Stegostoma tigrinum: one gene and its partner. The protein of the gene in region 2 interacts with the protein of the main gene of each other region in a pairwise test. Links are inferred from orthologs where the notes say so. Each region holds a gene or a part of one and is shown on either strand. Other genes may lie near its edges.

Evidence for each region. The genes of interacting proteins can lie anywhere in the genome.
Region 1: the proteins of sh3bp2 (region 2) and dbnlb interact in binary tests that used the Homo sapiens proteins (3 or more experiments, as listed by UniProt). The link is inferred for Stegostoma tigrinum from reciprocal best matches to the Homo sapiens genes SH3BP2 and DBNL.

What each region holds. Positions count from the first base shown.
Region 1 is NC_081393.1:1,036,523-1,046,747, reverse strand, and holds the start of dbnlb (drebrin-like b), read right to left. Parts: upstream 4,161-10,225; 5' UTR 4,100-4,160; coding exon 4,017-4,099; intron 1-4,016. UniProt on the Homo sapiens protein: Adapter protein that binds F-actin and DNM1, and thereby plays a role in receptor-mediated endocytosis.
Region 2 is NC_081356.1:130,334,513-130,344,145, forward strand, and holds the start of sh3bp2 (SH3 domain-binding protein 2), read right to left. Parts: upstream 4,612-9,633; 5' UTR 4,511-4,611; intron 1-4,510. UniProt on the Homo sapiens protein: Binds differentially to the SH3 domains of certain proteins of signal transduction pathways. Binds to phosphatidylinositols; linking the hemopoietic tyrosine kinase fes to the cytoplasmic membrane in a phosphorylation dependent mechanism.

The DNA.
Region 1 (10,225 bases), on a different chromosome or scaffold from region 2:
AGCCAGATTGAGACTGTGATACATATGGACTGGATTCAGAACAATTATTTCTTCTTGAGAGGAAGAGCTATAAAATGGCCACTAAAAAATCCTCACAAGGAATTCAGAAGAAAGCTCTTATACAGAGCTTTGGGAGCATGCAAAATTCACTCTCATAGGGAGTGTTTGAGATGAATGATGTAAATCATTTAAGAAGCTGGAAGTACTCAGAGTGGAAAAGGAACTGTAGGGTTAGATAAGCTTTTTCAGTTTAACCAGAACGAATAATACAAGTTGTCCGTGTACCACAAGCACCAATGTAGACCTGTTGGTAATCAGTGATTAGGAACAGGCCCACATACTAAATTGCTTATCAGCGAATAACAATCTGAACATAAAGTAAATTGCAGATGTACAAAGCAAGGCTTTGCTCAAGCAATGGGAGTCGAGGTTAGGAGGTGGCACCAAGAAAAGTCAAACCAAAGTCACAGATGGAGTCTCTCCGTGACTCTCTTGTCCGCTCCACACTCCCCTCCAACCCCACCACACCCGGCACTTGCCCCGGCAATCGCAGCAAGTGCTACACTTGCCCTCACACCTCCTCCCTCACCACCATCCCAGGCCCCAAGATGACTTTCTACATCAAGCAGATGTTCACCTGCACATCCGCCAATGTGATACACTGCATCCACTGTACCCGGTGTGGCTTCCCCTACATTGGGGAAACCAAGCGGAGGCTTGGGGACCGCTTTGCAGAACACCTCCGCTCAGTTCGCAATAAACATCTCCACCTCCCAGTCGCGAACCATTTTAACTCCCCCTCCCATTCCTCAGATGACATGTCCATCCTGGGCCTCCTGCAGTACCATAATGATGCCACCCCAAGTTGCAGGAACAGCAACTCATATTCCGCTTGGGAACCCTGCAGCCTGATGGTATCAATGCGGATTTCACCAGCTTCAAAAATCTCCCCTCCCCCCCACTGCATCCCAAGGCCACCCTAGCTCATCCCTGCCTCCCTAACATGTTGTTCTTCTCACCTATCCCTCCTCCCACCTCCCTTTCCTACCTACTAACCTCATACTGCCTCCTTGACCTGTCCGGACTGACCTATCCCCTCCCTACCTCCCCACCCATACTCTCCTCTCCACTTATCTTCTCCTCTATCCATCTTCAGTCCGCCTCCCCCTCTCCCTATCCCCCTTTTCTGATGAAGGGTCTAGGCCCGAAACGTCAGCTTTTGTGCTCCTAGGATGCTGCTTGGCCTGCTGTGTTCATCCAGCTCCACACTTTGTTATCACAGATGGAGCGTGCTCATGATTGCATTTTGGCAGTTAAACTAAAATCCAAGTGGCGACATGAACAAATCAGCATAAAGCATGCAAATTTTGCCATGTGGCTGGTGTTGTGCAATCACTAGTTCCTGATTTCCTGTTCTTCCTGTTTGTTTAACAGCTCAAGTTCTTCTTTCACAGTCCTTGACCAAAGTCAAACATCTTTCAGCTTTCTTTGCTTCTAATAAAACAGATCTGATTTCTTTAATCTATCCTCATATCTGAGATTTCTCAATCCTCGAAACATTTCCAAAAACATCTTCTGCACTATCTCCGTCTTTACATCCATTCTTAAATGCAGCACACTGAACTAGATGCAGTACTGCAAGCTGAGGCCAAACTAGCAACTTATCCAAGTTCAACACAACCTACTTGCTGTTGTACTCTATGTCCTGTGAATAAAGCCTTGGATACTGACTGCTTGAGTATTTTTTTCCTCAAACTGTCCTGTCATCTGTAATGATTTTTCCACCTATTCATCCAGTTTCTGCTGTTCCTGCACCCCTTTTCAAGTTTTTTTTCATTATTTTTCCATGTTCTTCCTACCAAACTTTACACATCTCTACACCAAGTTTCATCAACTGCCTATCAGCACATTCCATGAATTCTTCCGTCATTTTGAAATTCTACACCATTCTCCTTGGTTAAATATGTTTCATAGTTTTGCATCCTCTGCAACCTTGGTAATTATGCCCTTGCACAAGACGGCCTACACTTGTAACATATCTCAGGGAATGTCCCAACATAAATCCCTAAGGCATGCTTTATGACACTGTCTTCCATCCCAAATATGTGCATTAATCAATACTCATGGTTTTCTGATAAACATCCAATTCTTTATCAGTGTCCTGGCATAACTCTTTACACTGACTTCCTGTTCCACAGTTAAAAACGGAAAGAATTGTATATGCCTTCTTATAGTACCTTACTTGTTCTGTCACTTACAGGGATCTAATTGCATTGGTTCTAAAGTCCCTTTCTTCCTCAAGATCTATATCCAATCCCTTTCAAGATGGTGGCTGAATAGCATGCACGTGGGCTGCTGCTCCTGCAAGGTATTTGGCAGCAAGAGCAGCCGCAGGCTGTTAGGCAGCAAGTACTGGCAGCCCAGGGTAGCTGGCACTCCAAGGCGGAAGTGGGAGCAGGAACAGCAGCCAGCCCAGAGTAGTGACAGGGGAGAGGTCAAGTCATTGAGTGCAAACTCGAAGTGGCCAGGTCCTTATGGACTATTGTGTTTAACTATTAACTGTGTTCCTTTGCTTTTCTACTTCTTACAAAGGAGGACAGTAATGTTTCACTTTTTATAAAACTTTGTTTTCTTTATTTTTCTGCTTTGTGCTAAGATTCTATACCTCACTACCTTTGCACCTACAATAGCACCGCAAGTGGCAAGTTGTAATCTATTAACATTCATGTGAACAAGCCAAACTTAATTCAAACAATTCTACTCCACCCCTTAAATTTGTTTGCTTTACCCATTCACATATCTCATTTATTCTTTAACATTTAGTTTCACTCACCAAGTCAATGCACAGCATCTTGCTATCATTTACAACTTACGCTGCATCAACTACATGGCCAATTTAGGCTATTATCAGCAATTATAACCACTTAATTTATACTCAAATGTAAATACAAATATACACCTCCTGGTCATTCTCATAAGCTAAAGCCCAACAGAATTTATTATTGGATCCCATTAAATTATCATCCATCTACCATGTAGCTTTGGCACAGCTCTTCTGGAAATACAAGTGTATACTCCATAAATGATTCTGGGGATAAGAATTTCAGTGAAATAAGATTGTGATTGCAAGTGAGTGACTGCAGACGTAATTTTCAGAGAAGACTGGAAGATGATTTGACAAAGGTATTCAAAATCATATTCAAAATCCAATCCCAAGTCTGGATAAAAACAAAAAAAACAATGCAACTAATGGAAGCCAGAGGTCACAGATTAAACTCATTGACAAAAAAAACATCAAGAGGAGAACTTCCTTTCATGCAGCAAGTGGCTGGCAGCTAGAACCCGAGTGGGCAGTGGAGTTAAGGTGACTGGAGACATTCAGATAAGATTTTTGACTGTTGTCTGGCAGCACGGTGGCTCAGTGGTTAGCACTGCTGCCTCATGAGGGACCTGGGTTCAATTTTACCCCCCAGGCAACTGTCAGTGTGAAGTTTGCATATTCTCCTTATGTCTGTGTGGGTTTCTTCCAGGTGCTCTGGTTTCCTCCCACAGTCCAAAGATGAGCAGGTTAGGTGGACTGGCCATACTAAATTGCCCATAATGTTCAGGGATGTGTAGATTAGGTGGGTTTATAGGGGGATGGATCTAGGTGGGATGCCGAGAGGGTTAGTGTGGAACTTGTTGGGCTAAAGGGCTGTTTCCACACTGTAGGGATTCTCAGAATGTGTGCACAGGGAGGCATGGCAACAGTACAGAGTCAAAGTCTGATCGGGAGAGGCACCATAGACACAACGGGCCGAACAACCCCCGGCGTCGAAAGGCTCGAGTCCTTCTCCACACAAACGAACACCACACCCAGCAACCAAACTTCATCAGTCAATGTTACACCTTCAACAAACTCGAAAAGGAGCCTCTACTCCCGACCACCTGCAACCTTCCGCTTTCCCTTCCCCTCCTCAAAATCCAGGTTCAATCTGGAACCTACTGAATCTTCTTTCGCCCTGACCACAACTCACCAGTCAGTAGCGGCCTTGTCGTTTACCACATCCTGATAGGCAGCCTGCAGAACGGGCCCATTGCGACTGAGGTTCAGCGCCATTTTTCCTGAGCGGCAACCACGCAGGCGCACAACACACCCTTTCTCCAGGACCTCCGCGCATGCTCTGAGTACTGCAGCCACATGCCCGCCCCACAGCCGCCGGCGCGACTCCAAACGCGCATGCGCGCCGGCTCGGGGTCCGCATTTTCCCAACGCTCTGTTTCAGACAGCGACAACCCAGCAATTAATCAGAACTTCTCCGTCCACCCCCTTTCCAAAGGCAACACAGTATCTGTTAACTGAAAGCCAACCTCTAAAGTATTTTTGTCAACTAACCAACGACACCTCCTCGGCTCCATAATAAAGGGGTAAATGCGTTCGGTCAACTGAACCCAGTCTTAGATAATAAAATGTGAGGCTGGACGAACACAGCAGGCCAAGCAGCATCTCAGGAGCACAAAAGCTGACGTTTCGGGCCTAGACCCTTCATCAGAGGGGCTCTCTGATGAAGGGTCTAGGCCCGAAGCGTCAGCTTTTGTGCTCCTGAGATGCTGCTTGGCCTGCTGTGTTCATCCAGCCTCACATTTTATTATCTTGGAATTCTCCAGCATCTGCAGTTCCCATTATCTCTGAACCCAGTCTTATACCGGTGGACGTCAATCCTATCCAGCCGCTCATGGTAGGCAGCGAGGGTGAGAGGCAAAGACCTTTGCAGAAAGTCTAGCGCCGGCGTCGGGCGTCGCGCGAGAAAGACAGCACGTGCCTCAGTCTGAGTGACATATGGGCAGAGCCGTAGGAGCGCAGTTCCCGCCCCCACCAGAGAGCCAATCGGGAAGCGGGGTGGGGACGAACATAGTGCGGATTGGATGACGGACTGTTTCCTCTAATGAGATAACAAGGTGTGGAGCTGGATGAACACAGCAGGCCAAGCAGCATCAGCAGAGGAGTCGCGAGGCTGATGTTTCGGGCCTACTCCCTTTTCCGCCAATGAGCCGGGAGACGGTGTGTACGCCTCAGCGAATGGGAAGAACATCTCGGCCGAGGCCTTAAGGGGTCGCGGTGGTTGGGGGTGGGAGCACGCGGGCAACGGTCGTTTGGATGACGGAGTTTTTTTTCCTCCAATGAGTGGAGAGCTAGTGTGTACCCCTCGGCCAATGAGGGGCGGCAAGGCGATGCCGGGTGTGTCCTCCTGTCGCGGGCTTTGGCGCGGTGCTTGTGGCGAGTGGCCGTGGGTTTGTTGGTGAGGGGAGAGTTACCACCGCAACTACTGTCCCCAGGGTGGGACGGGCCCAGGGGCGTGTATCCTCAGTCTGGGTATCCTTCCCTAACCGATTCGGAATTAATAGGTCAGAGCGTTGCTCGTGGTGCCGGGAGGTACCAGTTCTGTGAGGGTCTACATTCTGGTTTTGGCCCAGTGAGCAAGGGAAAACTCTTACAAAAGGATTGTTAGCTGGGTGAAGATCAGTGTTCAGTTGAAATGAAAAACTGCTTTTAATTTTCCTTTTACAAACCCCAAAGGCTAGGAGATGGCAAGGACTGCAGATGCTGGAAGTATGAGTTGATAAAGTATGGAGTTGGAGGCTCGTACCAGGTCAGACAGTTTCTGAGGAGTAGGAAAGGGCCCCAACCTGAAACGTTAGACTTTCCTGCCCCTCCCAAGATTAGTCTTTGGTCTGGCTTTTACGTTAAAGGAAAGGTGGATGGTGTCAGGGAAAGGTTGCCAGCAGCATAAAAACAGATTGGAAGAACTTTGGCAAATACTTCAACAACTGGTAAAAAAAGTAACGAAAGCTAGTGTTAGTCTTCCGGGGACGTCTGAGACTTTGAACGCATGGTTTGTAGCTGTCTACTTGTCAGGAGACTGGGGAAAGTCTTCCCAAAGATAAGCAAACAGTCACGAGGTGATAGGGAGGAATGCATTTCGAAAAAATGTAATCACTATCACCAAAGCAAAAGTGCCAGGATCCAATGGCCTATATCCAAAGATCTTAAAGAGAACTGGCTGCACAGATAGAGATAATGGGAACTGCAGATGCTGGAGAATCCAAGATAATAAAATGTGAGGCTGGATGAACACAGCAGGCAAAGCAGCATCTCAGGAGCACAAAAGCTGAAGTTTCGGGCCTAGACCCTTCTTCAGAGAGGGGGATGGGGTGAGGGTTCTGGAATAAATAGGGAGAGAGGGGGAGGCGGACCGAAGATGGAGAGAAAAGAAGATAGGTGGAGAGAGTATAGGTGGGGAGGTAGGGTAGGGAGGGGATAGGTCAGTCCAGGGAAGACGGACAGGTCAAGGAGGTGGGATGACGTTAGTAGGTAGATGGGGGTGCAGCTCGGGGTGGTAGGAAGGGATGGGTGAGAGGAAGAACCTGTTAGGGAGGCAGAGACAGGTTGGACTGGTTTTGGGATGCACTGGGTGGAGGGGAAGAGCTGGGCTGGTTGTGTGGTGCAGTGGGGGGAGGGGACGAACTGGGCGGTCACCCTCAACAACTTCTCTTTTGACTCCTCCCACTTCCTACAGACTAAGGGGGTGGCCATGGGCACCCGCATGGGCCCCAGCTATGCCTGCCTCTTTGTAGGTTACGTGGAACAGTCCCTCTTCCGCACCTACACAGGCCCCAAACCCCACCTCTTCCTCCGGTACAGTGATGACTGTATCGGCGCCGCCTCTTGCTCCCCAGAGGAGCTCGAACAGTTCATCCACTTCACCAACACCTTCCACCCCAACCTTCAGTTCACCTGGGCCATCTCCAGCACATCCCTCACCTTCCTGGACCTCTCTGTCTCCATCTCAGGCAACCAGCTTGTAACTGATGTCCATTTCAAGCCCACCGACTCCCACAGCTACCTAGAATACACCTCCTCTCGCCCACCCTCCTGCAAAAATTCCATCCCCTATTCCCAATTCCTCCGCCTCCGCCACATCTGCTCCCACGATAAGACATTCCACTCCCGCACATCCCAGATGTCCAAGTTCTTCAAGGACCGCAACTTTCTCCCCACAGTGATCGAGAACGCCCTTGACCGCGTCTCCCGCATTTCCCGCAACACATCCCTCACACCCCGCCCCCGCCACAACCGCCCTAAGAGGATCCCCCTCGTTCTCACACACCACCCCACCAACCTCCAGATACAACACATCATCCGACACTTCCGCCAACTACAATCCGACCCCCACCACCCAAGACATTTTTCCATCCCCACCCCTGTCTGCTTTCCGGAGAGACCACTCTCTCCGTGACTCCCTTGTTCGCTCCACACTGCCCTCCAACCCCACCACACCCAGCACCTTCCCCTGCAACCGCAGGAAATGCTACACTTGCCCCCACACCTCCTCCCTCACCCCTATCCCAGGCCCCAAGATGACATTCCACATTAAGCAGAGGTTCACCTGCACATCTGCCAATGTGGTATACTGCATCCACTGTACCCGGTGTGGCTTCCTCTACATTGGGGAAACCAAGCGGAGGCTTGGGGACCGCTTTGCAGAACACCTCCGCTCAGTTCGCAACAAACAACTGCACCTCCCTGTCGCAAACCATTTCCACTCCCCCTCCCATTCTTTAGATGACATGTCCATCATGGGCCTCCTGCAGTGCCACAATGATGCCACCCGTAGGTTGCAGGAACAGCAACTCATATTCCGCCTGGGAACCCTGCAGCTTAATGGTATCAATGTGGACTTCACCAGTTTCAAAATCTCCCCTTCCCCCACCGCATCCCTAAACCAGCCCAGCTCTTCCCCTCCACCCAGTGCATCCCAAAACCAGTCCAACCTGTCTCTGTCTCCCTAACTTGTTCTTCCTCTCACCCATCCCTTCCTCCCACCCCAAGCCACACCCCCATCTACCTACTAACCTCATCCCACCTCCTTGACCTGTCTGTCTTCCCTGGACTGACCTATCCCCTCCCTACCTCCCCACCTATACTCTCTCCACCTATCTTCTTTTCTCTCCATCTTCGGTCCGCCTCCCCCTCGCTCCCTATTTATTCCAGAACCCTCACCCCATCCCCCTCTCTGATGAAGGGTCTAGGCCCGAAATGTCAGCTTTTGTGCTCCTGAGATGCTGCTTTGCCTGCTGTGTTCATCCAGCCTCACATTTTATTATCTTGCACAGATAGAGGATCTTTTCTTTGTAATCTCCAACAATTTCTTCCATTTTGGGAAGGTACCAGAAGACTGGATTTGGAAACAAGGATATGTTCAAATCTTAAAAATCAGTTACCTTAAAAATCAGTTGTCAGAAATATTGTAGATCCCATTATTAAGGAGGTTATATAAAGTTACTTGGAAAATGGTGTTATCCAGCAGACCTGACACTATATGAATAGGAAAGCCTGTTTAATCAAGTTCTGAGGAAGGGTCTCCGGACCCAAAACATTAACTCTGATTTCTCCGTCACAGATGGTGCCAGACCTGCTGAACCTTTCCAGCAACTTTGTTTTTGGTCCTGATTTTACAGCATTTGCAGTTCTTTTAGTTTTAAAGTGACTCTCATAATGGATAGATGGAAACAAGTAGTTATGGTGTCTTTAGATGTCCAATTGTAATTTTATAAGCAGCCAAATCAAACAGCTTGTGGTGTAGATGGTATCAAATAAACATGTCTGAAGATTTGATTGGCTTACAGGAAGCAGAGAATAAGACAAGATTCTTTTTGGGTTGACAGTCATGGGTCTCCACTGGTTTCTCAATTGTTTATAATACATATTCATTTTTTCAATAACTGTACCGAACATATGCGATCAAAAGTTGATAATACCAAGGGAGGTAGAAAAGTAAAGTTGCCAAGATGAGGTAGATCTGCAAAGTATTATAGCAAGGTGAAGTGAATGGGTACAAGTTTTCAGAAGGGATATAATGTAGAAAGTTAGCAACGTTTTTATTTTGGCAGGAAGAATAGAATAGCAGTATGCTATTTAACTGATGGTAATGCAGAATACATCTGAGTGTTGTGGTACAAGGCTTTTAAAATTAAGTATGTAGACACAGCAAATGATTAGGAAGCAGGATGAAATATTGTTCATTGCAAGGGGAATATGATATCCAAGTCAAAGTTTAACTGCAGCTGTATAGGATATAGTTTTCTTCCACACAGTTCAGAGAAAGTTAACTTAGCTCATTCCCAGAACGAAGGGCTTATGAGAGGTTGAACAGGTTGCTGTGTTAGCATTGAAGTTTAAAAGAACAAGAGGTTACCTTGTGGAGATCTGATCCTGAGGGAACTTGGTAGGGTGGATAACGCGAGAATGTTCCCTCATGTGGGGCAGACTAAAATCTGATGAAGGGCCTAGCCCTGAAACGTCAGCTTTTGTGCTCCTAAGATGTTGCTTGGCCTGCTGTGTTCATCCAGCCCCACACTTTGTTATCTAAGAGTAAAAGGTCCCTGGGTTTAGATACATATGTGAAGTGAACTTTTCTGTCCCAGAAAGCAGCAGAGGCTGCATCATTCAGTATCTTGACAAGGTTAAGTTAGGGTGGTTCTGATAAAGAAGGGATCAGCGGTTCTAGTGTGTAGTCAGTAAAGTTTATTTGAGATCAGCCATGATCGTGTAGAGGATTCGAATGTCTACCACCTGCTCCTCAGCCTTGTCGGAGATGTGGAGGACAGCGAAGAAGGTTACCTCAGTACAATGAGATCTTTATCAGATGGGCCACTAGGCCGCGAAGTGGCAGATGGAGTTGAATGTGAGCTGCTGCGTTTTGGAAAGACTACTCAGGGCAGGACTTAATGATAAAGTTCTGGGGAGTGTTGCTGAACAAAGACACCTTGGAATCCATGTTCATAGTTCCTTGAAAGTGGAGTTGCAGGGAAACAGGATAGTTACGGCATTTGCTATGCTTGCCTTTATTGATTAGTGCATTGAGCACAGGAGTTGGGTGGACATGGAGCCAGCTGTATGGGACATTGGTTCGGAACTATTGGAATAGTGTGTGCAATTCTGGCCTCCCTGTTGTGAAACTTGAAAGGTTTCAGAAAAGATGTACAAGAATGTCGCCAGCGTTGGAGGGTTTGAGCTGTAGGGAGAGGCTGAATAGACTGGAGCTGTTTTCTCTGGAGTGTCAGAGGCTCAGGGTGACCTGATAGGGGTTTGTAAAATCATCAGGGGAACGGATGGGGTAAATAGACAAAGTCTTTTCCCTGCAGTGGAGGGAGTCCAAACTAGAGGGCAGAGGTTTAAAGGTGA
Region 2 (9,633 bases):
CAACAGATATGGCTAAAGCTTTCACAGTAATCTTCAGCCAGAAGTGCCAAGAGGATGATTCATCTTGGCCTCTTCCAGTGGTCCCCAGCATTACAGATATCAGTCATCAGCCAATTCGATTCATTTCACGTGATAGTGAGGAATGGTTGGAGATGCTAGATACAGCAAACGCTACGGGCCCTGACAACATTGTGACTGATTGTGGATGATCAGCCATGATCATAATGAATGGTGGTGCTGGCTCGAAGGGCCGAATGGCCTACTCCTGCACCTATTGTCTATTGTAACATTTCAGCAATAGTACTGAAGACTTGTGCTCCAGAACTTGCTGCTCCCCTAGCCAAGCTGTTCCTGTACTGTTACAACACTGGTATCCACACAGCAATGTGGAAAATTTCCCAGGTCTGTCCTGTACACAGTACTTAATGTGGAGAAGGACTTGATAGCCAGGGAACTTGGAGAAATAAAGAATGATATCTTGAAAAGAGTTCATATTACAGCAGAACAGATACTGGAGGACTTAACACACATAAAGGGAGATAAATTCCCTGGACCTGATCAGAACTTTGTTTCCCAGACCTCTCTGTGGAAAGCTAGGGAAATGATTGCTGGGCCCCTTCAATAGCCACTTGGTGAGGTGCTGGCAGACTGAAGGTTGGCTAATGTGGTGCCATTATTTACACTGTAAGGAAAGAACAGGGAACCATAGAACGGTGAATTTTATATCAGTGGTGGGTAAGTTGTTGGAGGGGATTCTGAGGGTTAGAATTGACATGCATTTGGAAAGGCAAGGACTGACTAGGAATAGTCAGCATGGCTTTGTACATGGGAAATTGTATCTGACGAACTTGATTCAGATCTTTGAAGGGGGGCCAAAGAAGATTAATGAAGGCAGTGCAGTAAACATTGCCTATACGGACTTTAGCAAAGCATTTGACAAGATTCCACATAGTAGTCTGGTTAGAAACGTTAGATTGCATAGAATCCAGGGGGAGCTAGCTAATTGGATATAAAAGTGTTGAAGGTAGGAGAAAGAGGGTGGTGGTGGACGGTAGTTTTTTGGACTGGAGGCTTGTGACCAGTGGTTGCCACAAGGATCAGTACTAGTCCACTGCTTTTCATCATTTAGGTAAGTTTACAGATGATACCGAAATAGGTGTTGCAGTGGACAGTGAAGAAGATTGTCTCAGAGTACAACAGCTGATTAGATGGGCCAATGGGCTGAGAAATGGCAGACCAAGTTTAATTTAGATAAATGTGAGATGTTGCATTTTGTGAAGAAACCAGGGCAGGGCCTATACAGTTAATGGTAGAGTCTTGGGGAGTGTTACCAACAAAGAGATCTAAGGGTGCAGGAGCATAGGTCCTTGAAAGTGGAGCTGTAGGTAGGCATGATGGTGATGAAGGCATTTGGCATGCTTGCCTTCATTGTTCAGTGCATAGAGTTTAGGAGTTGGGATGTCATGTTGCAGCTGTACAGGACATTAATGAGGCCGCTTCTGAAATACTGCATACAATTCTGGTCACCCTTCTACAGGAAAGATGTTGTTAAACTTGAAAAGGTGCAGAAAAGATTTACAAGGATGGTGATAGGACTGAAGAGTTTGAGCTACACAGAGATGCTAAATTGGCAGGGGCTCTTCCCTGAAACATCAGGGACTGAAGGGTGATCTTAAGATATTTATAAAATAAAGAAGAGCATGGATAGGGTAAATAGCTCTTATCTACATCAGTGGAACTGAGGTGGAGATGGTTGAGAGCATCAACCAGTCTCCCTTCCAAAGGATAATACAATGTGAGGCTAGATGAACACAGCAGGCGCAGCAGCATCTCAGGAGCACAAAAGCTGATGTTTCGGGCCTAGACCCTTCATCTAGGCCCAGAACGTCAGCTTTTGTGCTCCTGAGATGCTGCTGGGACTGCTGTGTTCATCCAGCCTCACATTTTATTATCTTGGATTCTCCAGCATCTGCAATTCCCATTATCACATCCCTTCCAAAGGAGAAATGTTGTGAAACTTGAAAGGGTTTAGGAAAGATTTATGAGGATTTTGCCAGGGTTGGAGGGTTTCAGCTATAGGGAGAGATAGACTGGGGCTATTTCCCCCAACTGTCAGAGGCTGACACTTATAGAGGTTCATAAAATCATGAGAGGCATGGATAGGGTAAATAGACAAGGTCTTTTCCCTGGGATGGGGAATCAAAAACTAGAGGGCATAGGTTTAAGGTAAGTAGGGCAAGATAGAAAAGGCACCTAAGGGGCAACTTTCTCACGCAAAGGGTTTTGCATGTATGGAATGTGCTGCCAGAGGAAGTGGTGGAGGCTGGTATAATGACAGCGTTTAAAAGACATCTGGGTGGGTATATGAATAGGAAGGGTCTTAGAGGGATATGGGCCAAATGCTGGCATATGGGACTAGGTCAGAATCGGATGTCTGGTCAGCGTGGATAAGTTGGGCCAAAGGGTCTGTTTCGGTGTTTTATATCTCCATGACTCGAAATCCAATGTGGCCAATTACAAGTCTTGGTTCAAACATAGACAAAAGAGCTCAATTCTAGAGGTGAGGTAGGAGTGGCATCAAGGTTGCATATGACTGAGTGTGGCATAAGGGAATCCTAACAAAACTTGAATCTATGGGCATTGGGGGCAAACTGTTTGCTGGTTGGAGTCATATGCACATTGGAAGATGGTCATTGTCGTTGGAGGTCAGTTTTCTCAGCTCCAGGACATTTCTGTAGGAGTTCTTCACGTTCATGTCCTCAGCCCAACCCTCTTCAATTACTTCATAAATGACCTAGTCTCCAAAATAAAGATCTTTAGACAGCACCTTCCAAACTTCTAACCACTTCCACCTTGAAGAACAAAGCCAGTAGTTAGGTGGGAACACTACCCCCTGCAAGTTCCCCTCCAAGCCACTCACCATCCTGAATTGGAAATATATTGCCACTCCTTCACTGTCGCTGGATCACAGTACTGGAATCCTCTCCCTAACGACATTGTTGGGTCATCCTTCAGCATGTGGACCTCAGCAGTTCAAGAAGACAGCACACTACCACCTTCTCAAGAGCAACTAGGAATGGGCAATAAACACTGGCCCAAACAGTGATGCCTATTCCCCTGAGTGAATTAAAATTAAATGAGGTCAGAAGTGGGGGTGTTCATTGATGATTGCACTATTTTCAGCACCACTTACAACTCCTCAGATACTGATGCAGTCCACATTCAAATGCAACAGGATCTGGACAATTTCCAGGCTTGGGCTGACAAGTAGCAAATAACAATTGTGTCACACAAATGCCAGGTTATGACCATCTCCAATAATGGACAATCTAACCACTGCCCTTTGACATTCAATGGCTTTAACATCACTGAATCCCCCACTATCAACATTCTGGGGGTTACCATTGACCAAAAACTCACCTGGACTTGCCACATAAATGTGGTGGCTATGAGAGCAGGTCAGAGGCTAGGAATACTGCGGCGACTAATTCATCTCCTGACTGTCCAAAGCCTGTCCACATCTACAAGGCATGAGTCAGGAGTGTGATGGAATACTCCCCACTTGCCTGGATTGGTGCAGCCCCAACAACACTCAAGAAACTTGACACCATCCAGGACAAAGCAGCCGCTTGATTGGCACTACACCCAGAACCATTCACTCCCTCCACCAGTAACAGCAGTGTGTACCATCTACAAGATGAACTGCAGAAATTCACCAAGGATTCTCAGGCAGCACCTTCCAAACCTACGACCACTTCCATCTAGAAGGACAAGAGCAACAAATACATGGAAACACCACCCCTGCAAGTTCCCCTCCGAGCCACTCACCGCCCTGACTTGAAAATACATCCCCTGTTCCTTCACTGTCATTGGATCAAAATCCTGAAATTCCCTCGCTTACACCATTGTGGGTCAACCCACTATATGTGGACTGCAGCGCAAACCACCTTCTGATGGGCAACTAAGGACGGACAATAAATTCCAGGCCCAGCCAGAGATACCCAGATCCTACGAGTGAATAAAAAATGTGAGGGGTCCTCAACAGCACCATGAGTTTGTCCCAGTCTCTCTTCACGGATACTCAGCGCTTCTAGCCTTTCCTGGATTTCATTTTAAAATAGAACAAATTAATATTAAATTTCCAGACTAGGATTGGGCCGAATGGTCATCAAATCCTTAAATTCTTTAAATAATTTATGAAATGTAAATATTGACATTTGTTTTCTGTTCCTGTGCTCTCTGTCGCCCTGTTTAGTTTTTCATCTCCACTCAGTAAACAGGCTGTAACCTCATTGAATAAGCACAAGGGACAGATCACAGTCCCACTCATGTCCGGGACAAACGCTATTTTCACTACATCTGGAGGCGAACCTTCCAAACGCGTAGTTAGAACTCAACCTACAAGCCTCTGAGTTTATAATTCATCTCTCCCTCTGTTCTGAAGTTTCAACTCTACCTGTCTTGACTTCTCTTTTTGATTAAAAGAAAGACACTAGCTATGGCACTGTACCTGAGCAAAGCTTCCATAAGAGTGGTCAGTTAGAAAGGCAGCAGCTCGATGTTAAAATCCGGAATGCGAACAGTCCTACTGACTCGCTGAGTCTCTGAGCCAACACTGCTCTGTCTCTCTCTCTCTCTCTCTCAACTTCCTCAACTGAATCCGCTGACTCAGTTCCTTTGCACGGGTTTGACTTTATGCTTTCAAAAAAAAAGCTCACTGACGCCTTGTCGGGCAACTGTTAGAAACTGCAGGTGCAATGAGTAAATGCTGCCCCGGAGTTAACCCTGGGGGTGGGGGTTTGGCCGAGGGGGCAAGGTAGGGTGTCCGACAGAGAGCAGCCTGGGCACGAAACTCCTGTTGCCACTGGCCTTTGCATTCAGCATGTAAACGCTGGACATAAAGAGCAGCATCAGAACCCGGGGGCACACTGACTGACAGCTAGTCAGTGATAGAAACTAGAGTTAGGATCATGGATAAGACTCCTCAACTCTCTGCACCGCAAATCACTTCTCGCTTTGCACTTTGGAGTGAATTTGAGCTGATTTCAAAAAGTTTGGAAACAAAATGCTGGTGAAGCTGTCAAATGAGGCCAACACCATCATTACAAGCACACAACCACTGACCCATGTGTACATCTATACACTCATACACTGACCCATTTGTGTACATCTACACATGCGTGAACGCATAGACTGACCCCATGTGTGTCCATCTAAACATAGACACACTGACCCATGCGTGTATACACACACACACGCGCACACACACAGACCTATGTGTGTGCATCTGCAGAAACACACGCATACTGACCCGTATGTACATTTGCTGACCATGTGTGTACATCTACTCTCATACACCCTGACACGTGTGTATTCCACACACACAGATTTATGTGCGTACACCTAATTACAGATGCACTGATTCGTCTGTTATATATCCACACATACACTGTCCTATATGTATACATCTACAGAAACACATGCACACTGACCTATTTGTACATTTAAACACACATATGCTGACCATGTGTGTACATCTACACTTACACACACACACACTGACCTTTATGTGTACATCGACACAAACACACACATTCACACATACACTGACCCATGTGCGTACATCTACAAGCACACACACACACAGACCTAAGTGTGTGCCTCTACACTCACACAAACACACACACACATCTATGTGTGCACATCTACACAAACACACACAGACCCGTGTGTACATCTAAGCATATGCACACTGACCTTTTGTGTACATTACACAAGCACACAGGCTTACACAAATACTGACCCATGTATGTACATCTACACTCACACACACACTGACCCAGGTGTGTACACCTGCACTCACGCACACACAGAGACCCGTGTGTATCCTTCTACATATACACACTCACACATACTGATCCATGTGTGTACATCTACATTCACACTAACTGACCTATGTGTGTACATCCATGCATACACAAGCTGACCTATTTGTGAACATCTACAGACATAGTCCTGTTGTTCATTGGTTAACTCAATTGGCTGGATAGCTGGTTTTTGATGCTAACAGTATGTGTTCACTTTCCACACTGGCTGAGGTTACCATAAAGGGATCTCCTGCTACCAGAGGTATTGCGACCCTCAGGTTAAACCACCACCAGTTATTTCTCTTTAATGAGAGAGCAGGGCTATGGTGACTTTTGCATTGACCCATGAGTGTGCATATCTGCATAAACACTGATCTTGAGTGTGTGCATCCACCAACATATAGAAAGTCCTATAAGAGATAGGACAGTGTTGGACCTATTCTGAGGGAGCAAAGCCAGGCTAGTGGGAAACGTGAGTCTACTATCAGTATTAGGGATACTGTTGGAAAAAATTCTCAGAAACAAAATCTTCATTTAGAAAGGCAAGGATTAATCAAAGATAGTCAACATGGTTTGAAAGGAGGAGATCATTTCTCACAAATTGGAATGAATTTTTCAGGGAGCTGATTAGGTGTGTAAATGAGGGTAGTGCAAATGATAGGGTAGTCAACATGTAAGCCTTTCAACAAGGGCTAGCATGACAAACTAATTAAGAAGCATAGAGTCCACGGGATCCTGGACAATTTGCCGAATTAGATCCAAAATTGGCTTCGTGGCAGGAAGCAGAGGATGATGATCGAAGGGTTTTTGTGAGACAAGAAGCCTGTGTATAGTGGCATACCACAAGTTTTGTTGCTGGGTCCCTTGCTGCTTGTAGCACACATTAATGATCTAGACATGAATAGAGGAGTTATGATCAGTAAGTTTGCAGATAACACAAAAATTGGTGGTACTTTAAGTAGTGAAGTGGAAAGTCTTAGCCTACAGGATGATATAGATACAGTGGTCAGATGGGCTGAACACTGGCAAATGGAATTTAATGTTGAAAAGAGTGAGGTGATGCATTTTGGAAGGACTAACAAGGCAAGGGAATACATAATAAATTGCAGGACCTAGGAAGTACAGAAGATCAGAGGGACCTTAATGTGGATGTCCATAGATCCTTCAAGATCACAAGACAAGTATGTGGTTTAGAAGTCATTATGGAATTTCTAAATTGATCAGTCAAGGCATTGAATTCAAGAGCAAGGAGGTTATAATGGAGCTGCATAATGTTAGTTAGGCCATAGCTGGAGTACCGTGTGCAAGTCTGGTCACCACACTGTAGGAAATATGTGATTGCATTAGACAGGGTGCAGAGGAGATTCATCAGGATATTGCCTGGGTTGGAGCGATTCATCTATGAAGACAGACTAGATAGGCTGGGGTTGTTTTCCTTAGAACAGGGGTGGGAGGGGGTCATATGATTGAGTAGTATGAAGTTCTGCGCGGCATAGAGAGAGTACATGGGGAAAATCCTTTCCCCTCAGCAGAGGGAACAGTACCCAAGGGACATAGGTTTAACATAAAGGACAGAAGGTTTAGAGGGGCTTTGAAGAAACCAGCTTTCATTCAGAGGATGGTGGGTATCTGGAAATCAGTGCCAAAAATGGTGGTAAACGCAGGAAAACTCAAGACATTTTAGAAGTATTTAGATGAGCACTTGAAATGCCACAGCATACATAGTTACAGGCCAAGTGTTGGAAAATGGAACAAAAAATAGACACTTTATGCATGGACATGATAGGAATTGTTTAAAGGGCCGCTGATGAGAGCTCATTAGCATGTTCCAGTAAAGAGGAAGGACAAAGATGGTAAGGTAATGGACTTTTGGAACACGAGGGAAGCTGTGAATTTAGTCGAAACAGAAAAAGGAAACATATGTAATGTTTAGAAAGCTAAAATCAGACAGGGCCCGAGAGGATTATAAGGAAATCAGGAAAGCACTGAAGCTGGGAATTAAGAGAGCAACAAGAAGCCATGAAATGACCTTGGCAAGTAGGGTTAAAGAGAATCCCAAGTCATTCTACAGTTACATTAAAAACAAAAGGATAACTAGGGAGTAGGTAGGACATTTCAAGGATAAAGGATAAACTTTTGCTTGTAGACAGAGGATGTGGGTGATATCCTAAATAAGTACTTTGTACCGGTTTTCACCATGGAAAAGGATATGGAGGATAGTGAGATTTGCATGGAGCATGCTAATATGCTGGGGCATTTTGAGATTAAGAAAGAAGTGCTGTTGGACCTCTTGAAGAGCATTAAGGTGAATAAGTTCCCAGGATCCAATGGTATCTACCCCAAGTTACTGAGAGAGGTAAAAGAGGAGATTGTTCGGTCCTTGACTAAGATCTTTGTATCCTCACTAGCCACTGAAGAGATCCCAGAGGACTGGCAAGTAGCTAATGTTGTTCCTTTGTTCATGAACGGAAATAAGGACGACTCATGAAGCTGTAGACCAGTGAACCTTACATCAGTGGTCGGGAAGCTATTGGAGAGAATTCTTAGGGATAGTATTTATAGACATTTGGAAAAGCATGATCTAATTAGAGACAGTCAGCAAGGCTTTGTGCAGGAGAGGTCATGTCTTACTAACTTGATTGAATTTTTGGAAGAGGTGACAAAGGTCATCTATGAGTATGGAGCAGTGGATGTTGTTTACACGGATTTTAGTAAGGTTTCTGACGAGGTCCCTCATGGCAGTTTGATCCAGAAGATTAAGATGCATGGGATCCACAGTGGCTTGGCCATGTGGATTCAGAATTGGCTTGCCCACAGAAGGGTGTTTTCAGGCTGGAGACCCGTGACTAGTGATAGTGCACAGGGATCCATACTAGGGCCTCTACTGTTTGTGGTAAATATAAATGACTTATGTGTAAATGTAGATGGGTTGGTTAGTAAGTGTGCAGATGATACAAAAATCAGTGGATTTGTGGATAGTGTAGAAAGTTGTCAAAGGATACACTGTGACATGGATCAGTTGCAGATATGGGCGGAGAAATGGCAGACAGAGTTTAATCTAGCTATGTGTGATATACTGCACTTTGGGAGATCAAATGTTCAGGAAAAGTATACAGTTAATGGCAGGACTCTGAACAGCATCGATGGACAGAAGGATCTTAGGGTTCAAGTCCACAGCTCCCAGAAAGTGGCCATGCAAGTAGATAGGGTGGTACAGAAGGCGTGTGGCAAGCTTGCTGTTACTGGTCAGGGAATTGAGGACAAAAGTCAGGATGTCATATTGCAGCTTTATGAGACTTTGGTTAGGCCACACTTTGAGTATTGCATTCAATTCTGGTGGCCACACTACATGAAAGATGTGGAGGTTTTGGAGAAGGTACAGAAGAGGTTCACCAGAATGCCACCTAGATTAGAATATATGAGCTGTAAGGAGTGGCCAGAAAAACTCAGGTTGTTTTCTCTGAAGCGATGGAGGCTGAGGGGAGACTTGATAGAATTCTATAAAATTGTGGGGTGCAGACAGGGTTGATGGTCAGAATCTTTCTCCCAGATGTGAAATGTCCAATAGTAGGGGGTCTGCATTTAAGGTGAAAGGAGGCAAGTTCAAAGGAGATGTGGGGGGCAAGTTCTTTACACAGAGAGTGGTAAGAGTCTGAAATGTACTGCCAGTGGTGGTGGGTGGAGGCAGAAACAAACAGGATATTTAAGGGACTTTTAGATTAGCACATGAATATGCGAGGAATGGAAAGATATGCACCAATGGCAG